2 linked regions of the Drosophila melanogaster genome follow. The protein of the gene in region 1 purifies or fractionates together with the protein of each later gene. This does not show direct contact. Each region holds a gene or a part of one and is shown on either strand. Other genes may lie near its edges. The genes, in order: Elba1 and Elba2.

Evidence for each region.
Region 2: the proteins of Elba1 (region 1) and Elba2 fractionate together in Drosophila melanogaster (co-fractionation; one study listed by BioGRID). This does not show direct contact.

What each region holds. Positions count from the first base shown.
Region 1 is NT_033779.5:4,682,280-4,686,420, forward strand, and holds Elba1 (early boundary activity 1), read right to left. Parts: upstream 2,183-4,141; 5' UTR 2,095-2,182; coding exon 2,092-2,094; intron 2,034-2,091; coding exon 945-2,033; 3' UTR 773-944; downstream 1-772. Other genes in the region: CG11929 (uncharacterized protein), read left to right, coding at 545-642, 698-765, 2,233-4,141. UniProt on the Drosophila melanogaster protein: The heterotrimeric Elba complex is required for chromatin domain boundary function during early embryogenesis.
Region 2 is NT_033779.5:2,575,706-2,579,810, reverse strand, and holds Elba2 (early boundary activity 2), read right to left. Parts: upstream 2,125-4,105; 5' UTR 1,949-2,124; coding exon 803-1,948; 3' UTR 632-802; downstream 1-631. Other genes in the region: ND-B17.2 (NADH dehydrogenase (ubiquinone) B17.2 subunit), read left to right, coding at 15-192, 244-328, 385-455; insv (insensitive), read left to right, coding at 3,166-3,174, 3,239-4,105. UniProt on the Drosophila melanogaster protein: The heterotrimeric Elba complex is required for chromatin domain boundary function during early embryogenesis.

The sequences.
Region 1 (4,141 bases):
CCAGAGCGACAACCGAAAATTGATTATTCCATTTATTTTCCAACACAAATGCCTCGGGCTGTGAGAATTACTCATCAATTTCCACGTCTTGGGTGCATGTGTGAAAAACGGTCCTTGAATATTGTAAACTTCCATGCTGTATTGACTACTCGATGGGCAAAATAAATAACACATTGTGTCTGGGGAGGCAGACCGAACCAAACCCAACCTGCTTTCGCATAAAAAAAGTAACTAACTTAAAATTTTATGGTATTTGCCTCAAGAAATCCATTTTGCATTAAACAGGTCGCATATTTTTATTTATTTTTATAAATATAATAACATATAACTATGTCTGTTTGTAATGCTCAAAACTGATTGAAGCACGGAAAAGTCACAAGTGTGAACGATACGTTATCGAAATTCGATGCTGTGTGTAAGATAGCTTTTCCCTACCAGTGTTGCCACATGGAACATAGAAATGAGTAATAAATTATGTACAGTTTAGACAATCAGAAACATTTTCTTTTGCATAGTCCAAATTATTTGTTATATTTAGTGTCCAATGAGTGCCCCGAACAAAGAAATCGTCAAAGGGAGTTTGACAGCACAGCAAATTAGACAAAAACACCAATATGTACGCCTGATAATGTTATTAAGAAGGTAAAAATAAGACATTCTCCAGTGGTTTCTCCAATTTCACAACGTGCACTTTCAGAAGAGTCTATTTCCCAAGGAAGACGAAAAGTGATTACTCCCTGACCCGCATCAATTTCAATTCCACTGGTGAGTTGGGTAAGAAAGTGGGTTTCTTTATTCAATTGGTGTTATCGGCTGTGCCGGGACTTAGTATACTGTAGAATCAGAATTAGGGTTTTAACGGGTAAATGGACCTACTTTCGGGAATTCATTCCTAGAAAATGAAAAAGGAGGTCTTTCCCAGGGAGTTTCCATGGAAAAGTTTCCTACTTTGATTTGCGCTGCATTCGCGAGCGTAGCATCTTGTTTTCATCCGCACATTTGGTGGTGATGGCAGTGCGCACTTCCCGCGGAGTCATGTCCAGGCTGTTAGTCATCAGATAGACCAGATCGGCCACCTTGAGCGGATCCAGCTGCTGTTTGCTGGGACGGGCACAGTCCCTAAATGCCGGCGATGGTTTTCCGGATAGCGTATGATGGGCCAGTGTATCCCGGTCGAAGATCTCGCAGAGCAGCTTCCTCGTGATCGAGGGTCCGGTCATGTCCCAGTTGATGGCACTTAGGCTAATGCGGGAAACTTCGGTGCCATTGGGACCGATCGTCACCATCGGCGATTCGCCGTCCAGGTCGAATTCGAAACCAGGACACCGCCGTTTCGCATTCGGAGTGGAGGTCACCGGTTTCTTGATACGCTTCCTCTTGTTACCCATTGTCTCTTCTCCGCCGGGCACATAGTCCTCATCGTCATCGTCCAAACCAAGATCTTCGTCGTTTGTTTTCGGCGTCGAGGTGTTGTGCTCATCGGCTCCATCGCGAAACGCGTTAAAAGGCTCCGAACTCTGCTCCTGATCCTGGTCCTGCTCATGAGACTGTTTGTGCTCTGGCTCCTGATCCATTTCCTGGACCTTTTCAATTTCGATGGTGAGGAGATCGAGAGCCTTGCGCTTACTGCGCTCCCATTGCTGGAGAAGCTTCAAACGCGCCTCATTTACCGCCTGGATGGTGTTCCTCATCAGCTGCGAGTACTCCACATCCTGCACCATGTCATCGAAATCCTGATCCGGTGAACGCTGTGTCCTTAGCAGCTTCTCAGCAGCCAGTGTAAGAGTTTCCAGAGTGCTCAGCTTGCCACTATCGGACATTTCGATGTGTCGCATGGCGGAATCGGCAAACTCATTTGCATCTTGAATGCGCCGCACCTTGCAGTCATCGCTCTCCTCCTCCGTAAAGGAGTCATCCGTTCGCAGGCGGGCGATGATCGCCTCCACTTTTTTCTGCGTTTCAGACAACTGAACTGTCTCGGGATCATAGGGCAATAGGGTCAGGGCGAATTCCAAACGCTGACGGCGGTTAATCTACAAGGAAATGATTTTTTATTTTAAAATGCTTGGTATTTGCTTCTATTTAACTTACCATTGTGCTGCTTGTTGTCCACTTGCAAACTGAATTACTGCTAATAAGTCAACACCTTATATACCACCAATGCGAAAACCTTTACAGGTAGTTTCTTCCAAATACTGATTAATCCTTTTATTACCCTTTTTAATTTTGCAGATGCTTCCATGGCCGATTCGCTGCCCACCGGGGCGACTGCAACTCGCCTACCTGCCGGAGCAACTTGCAGCTGTCGTTCCATTTCGGGACGCCCGAAACCCGCTGCCATCGCCTCGGAATCAACCCAAACCATAGCTTCCACCGAGGACATGGGCACTCAAACCGTCTTCCAAACGGATCCCAATGAGGATTTCGATTGTGGCCAAGATGCATCCACCCAATCGATGCTTAATATGCATGATGTAGAGACTCAATCGATTCCAGTATCGTCCAAAAACCTTAACAGCATACAAACGCAAACGGACTATGAAGAACCAAAAACTGTCCGTTTTCCGTTGAAAAAATATTCGAAGACTGAGCATGAAGAAAAAAGACCTAGAAAATCGAATACTTCATTGCGCAAATGTTTTTTCAAGCGCCCATTAATCGTAGTCAAAGGCGGCGCTCTTATATCTTCCGATTTTACAGCCAATATCCATCAAAGTAGAATGGAGAACGTATCTGTCACTACCAGAAAAGAAGATAAAGAAACACAATATGAAAACCATTTTGGGACACAATCAAATAGTTCAGACGATCAGCCTTCAGATCCTTCAACGTGTTCAAAAATCCTCGATAGAGTTCAGAAACTGGAAGCCATAATGAAGAGACAGGAGCTTTTTCTAAGGGATCTACAGGGCTCTGTGAAATCGTGGAAGGTCCAGGAATGCAAACCCTCTGATTGTAGGATCATATTTCAAGGTAAACCGGAAGCATGTGAATTGCCAAAAAAACTAGAAACATCTGATCAGGCATCACAGATAAACGATATACACGAGGAACGCAAATTGCCAATAAAACCGGAAGGTTTTAACCAGTCATCCCAGAAAAAATATACAGCTCGTTCCGAGGAACAAAAGTTGCCAATACAACCTGAACCTTTTAACCAGTCATCCCAGAAGAAATATACAGCTCGTTCCGAGGAACAAAAGTTGCCAATAAAACCTGAACCTTTTAACCAGTCATCCCAGAAAATATATACAGCTCGTTCCGAGGAGCGAAAATTGCCAAGAAAACCTGAAAATGTTGATCAGGCTACACAAAAAAAAGATACAGCTAATTGCGAGTGCAAAACGCTATCCAAAGAATTTATTCAAATATTTTTGAAGCCTGAAACTGCTCAAGAAAAGCAGAAATCAAATAATTCTCAACGCACCACAGATACCCCAATAAACTCGGAAAACTCAACTGGTCTACAATGCAGTAGAGAATGTAATGGAAGTTCTAGCAAAGACAATCGGAGATGTTGTAAGGCGAATGGATATGAAATGCATCTGAAAGGTGACCAATTCCCAACTGCTAAACAATGCTTAAAAGATACCGAAAATTTTCTAGAACAATTTAATCGGGTTTTTGCTAAAACAAAAAGCGAAGAAACACTTTCCGACAAGTCTAGAAATACTTCAGCTTTCTCTGCAAATCCCACGAAACAAAATGATACTGAACATGGGGTTGAAAACTTACTGGGTGAAATTGTTAAAAAACCCAAATCAAAGGTTTCCTCCACATCTTGCTTGGAGGCAAAGAGTTCCGAACAATCCAATAAAAGTGTAGAGAAGGAATTATACAAATCCTTTATTGAACAGCTTATTAGTCATTTCACAAAATCCAAGTCGTGTGAAAATAATCAGGCGCAGAATGCCCAATCAGAGTCCTACTCATTCGATCGCTTACTGCCGGAATTCGTAAAAATGTTTACGAGATCCAACAGCCTCGAGGAGGACAGACCCAAAAAAGTGAGCATATCAGAGAAGAAAACCATTTTGGGTGCCAATCCGATGACCAGCTTCAATTGTTCGAAAACTCCTCATAATATTAAATCCACTGCACTGAAATCGGAACTTAAGACGTCGGATATGGAATTGGATGC
Region 2 (4,105 bases), 2.1 Mb from region 1:
GCGCTATTTTCCAGGAACGATGATCTGAAGATCGGAACCCTGGTGGGCATCGACAAGTACGGCAACAAGTACTTCGAGAACCCGTACTACTTCTACGGCCGCAATCGCTGGATCGAGTTCGCCCCCCACGTCAACATGGACTACGATGGATCCATGATTCCCGCCGAGTGGTACGGCTGGATGCACTACAAGGTGGGTTTAGACTACATCTTGTCGCACATGTTATTACCTTTTTCCTTATAGACCGATCTGCCTCCCATTCGCGATGGATGCCGCCCCAAGTACAAGTGGATAGCGGACCACAGCGAGAATCTTTCCGGAACTAAGGGTAACTATGCACTATTCCCATTAAGTAAGCCCCCTAATTCAATCCTGCTCTTGCAGAGGCCTACTACCCCTACTCCACAACACCCAACAAAGTGGAGGCCTGGGAACCCAAGGCGAAGAAGCAGTAGTGTGGCATAGCTTATAATTATTTTTAAATTCAAGTGCAAATGGCTGCGATTGATGAGAACACCCGATCGAGTTAATAAACCCAATTTTGTTGACTCTGCACTCGAAGAACAATTTTAGCAATGGACAGAAAAGTGAAGTAACTCTGCCTATTCCCATATTATTCAGGTTTTGAATTGGTTTCATCTTGTCTTTATTCAATCACAGCTAGATTATATAACTTTACTTTTACTTTTAGCAGGACCTACTACGAATATATACAATGTCTTTCTGCGCCTTTCGTGGCGCGTCGTTGAGAAGAGCTTGATCATAGCTGGATTATATCTAGCCAATAGTTGTCCACTCCATGCTAATACTCCTCCTTGATGGCGACCTTCTGGGCCTTCTTGGCCCGCCTCTTGTACTTCTTGGCGGTATCCGCACACTTGGTAGTGATGGTGGCCCGAATCACCCGTTCCTTGCCGCCCGTCCGGTTTCTCACACAGACCACGATGTCGTCCACCTTGCGTTGGTCTAACTGGAGCTTTGGGGGTCTTTCGCGGCCGTAGAATGCGGGCGACGGCTTCCCGGTCAGCGTGTGGGTAGCCAACTCATCGCTGCTGAAGACAACGCAAAGAAGACACCTCGTGGCCACCGGGGCGTTGGTCCAGAAGACCTCACCGTACTGATGGGCTGTGATCTGGGTGCCATTGGGTCCCAGTACGTACACCGCACTGCCGTCCTCCTTTTGCACTCGGTGCGGGTACTGCACAAGAGTGTCTTTCTCGTCCTTTTCAGAGGCAGTATCTGGGATGTGCGATTCCGACGAACTGGTGGACATGTGGCGCGGTCTCTTGGAGGGCGGCGCGGGCACATCCTCGGCATCGTTGTCGTACCGCTGATTCAGGGTCTTTAGCATGGAAGTGAGACGACCAAAGAGTTGTTCGTAGTGGTGCTGACTCTTCTGGATTTTGGCCACTTGCTGCTTAAAGGATTCCTCCAGGCGAGGCAGTGGCTCCACCCGCGGTTCGATGTTCTTAATGCCCCCGGAAGCGGTGGCTACCGCTACCAACTGGGCATTGATGACGCGTCGCTTGGGCGGAGAGCTTCGGCGGACTGGCACTGCCTTAACGGGAACTGGCTTAACTGGCTGGTTGACTATTATGGGAGGCGGCATTTGGATCTGCAGCTGACCCAGGGGCTTCAGGGTCCGCTGGCGCATCATGGTCTGCTGGGCGGCCACCTCGTAGTTGATGTAGTTCTCGATGTCCATCTCCTCCTGCTTCATTATGGGCCGCGAGAGCAGGCGGTAGTAGTAGGGCACGAAGTTCGGGGCGAACTGGCTCAGATAGTGGTGATATGGGTGGGAGTACTGGACGCTGGGCAGGATAGCAGTCTGCGGATGAAAGTAGTGCGGCTCCGTTTTGCAAACGACTGACATGCTGAATTCCGGAGCCTCGCTATTTGTAAGGTTAGGACACGAGTCCTGATCGTACGGTCGAAATCCGCCGGCCATTTGCACGCGGATTTTGGCAACAGGTAAAGGCAAAAAGGTTTATTTCTGGCAAAAAACGCAGCTGCGTCGGCTTTCTTGGCTTATTTTGCGTATTATTCGTTGGAAAAATTGGTGTTTTATGGCCCGGCTTAACAGTTATTGTTCCTTGCGCCAGATACCTGAGAATCCGAAAATCTTAATCTTGCAGGGCTGCCAAGGTCGCCGAATAAAGATAATTTGCATTCGATAATTGGAAGTAGAGTCTAAAATATTCGCCTTTAGGCTTTACTTAAATTCTTATGGAAATATAGGAGTAACATGATTAAAAAACCGTTTGCTTCTGAAGGCTAGTCTTAAATACGAAATACTCGTACATGTTTTAACTCAAAAAGTTATGCCTTGAAATTTTAAAGGCAGTACCATATATCCTTGAGTGTATTTTCCGCTCATTCAAAATGCATTACAATGGACGGAATTCCAGTAGACTTACCCTTAAATAGGTATCCCTTCTAAAATGGAATTTAAGGGTGTTTTTTTTCCGATCAGAGAGCATTTGAGCGAAGAATTATATTCCAAAAGGATCTCATGTATTGGAAGGGTTCCCAATACATTCAAATTGCAATGGATAATATGCAGTCCGGGTCCTGAAAACCGGTTTTTTTTTTACAAAACCCAACTATTGTCCTTTTTGGTTCTTGGAACTGTGGAAAGAATTCTTACACATTCCTTTGTTACATTTACTTTTTTCTCTTATTTTCTGACCTTCGCCAAAGTGCAGAATACAGAATTTTAACCAAACGGATATTCTGAAAAGAAAAAGAAAAAAACTTTATAGAGAGAACTTAAAAATTTAAAACCCTCGTGACTTGCAACCGATAGTTTTATTTCATAGCCCTAGGTGTCAACCCTGTCGATGAAAGAGAGAGCAAAAGCAGCTTTATTCGCAATTATTTATAATAATAATTATAATACATATACTGGTTCCCGCGCAAACAACAAATCCCATGCGAAGAAAGGAAAAGACAGCTGGACTTGGACTAGTTGGGAAATAGACGGGGTCCTGAAACAGAAACAGGAATAGGATATCAGCTACCTGGAGGGCACACTCACACACACGCAGAGGCAGGCGCTCTCTTCCCCGTATATGCGTGCGCATGTGTGCGTGCAGGTAGGAATGCAACCACTTTTCGCATTCTGCCGCCAATTTTCAGTTGACGCAGATCCTTTGAGGATTGAACATGGAAAACGTGAGTAGCTGCAGGATATCTCCACCGAATATGTTGATCAAGAGTTTTTCCCATCGAATTGCAGCAATATCAGCGCATAGTCAGCGCCACTGCACGCGAGGATTCGCAGGCAAGGAGGAGCAAGCCCTTGTTTCTGAATGCCTGGTCGCAGACTTCTAGCGTGGACTTCGAGGTGCTTCGCAGCATCTCCGCGCCGGACCCGCAAGTGGAGGTCGAGAACAGAGCGCTCCGCGATAAGGTCCGCTACTTGGAGGCCAAACTGCAGCAGCACAAGGATCTGCTATCCCAGATTCATGCCACCTCCGCCAGGATGCAACAGGCATCCTCCCTGCTGGCAGAAAGTAGACCACCCACGCCGCCCGCGGTCCAGAGCCACCACATTCTCACGCCACCGAGTTCAGAGATATGTGCGCCCGCGCAGAATCCCCAGATTCTGGACTACAAGATCATCTCGGCACCCGACGATGCGGATGCCATTGAGATTCGCCTGGCGGCGGAGAGTCTGAACAGCCTGAGCACCTCTGCGGACTCAGATCGCCTGGAGATTTGCCTGGGCGACGAGAATCATCAGCAGAGCAATCATCACAATTCCCAGCAGCAGTACAGGATTAGCAACGGCATAAAGAGGGATGGTTCCTCCGAGTCCGCCGACACTCCACTACAGTTCATCAAACGCCGCAAGCTGCAGGAGATTCAGTTGCAGGAAGAAATCCCGCGGCAGAACATAAAACTACCAGCCAAACCCCAAGTCAAAGCCCGTAATGGCAGTTTTACCGATCTCAACAAGGGCCAACAGCAAAACATGGACAACGTGATGGTGTCCATTGGCCCGAACAACACCTGTGTGCCCGCCAGTGTCTTCGAGAATATTAACTGGTCGGTGTGCTCGCTGGCCACCCGGAAACTACTGGTCACGATCTTCGACCGGGAA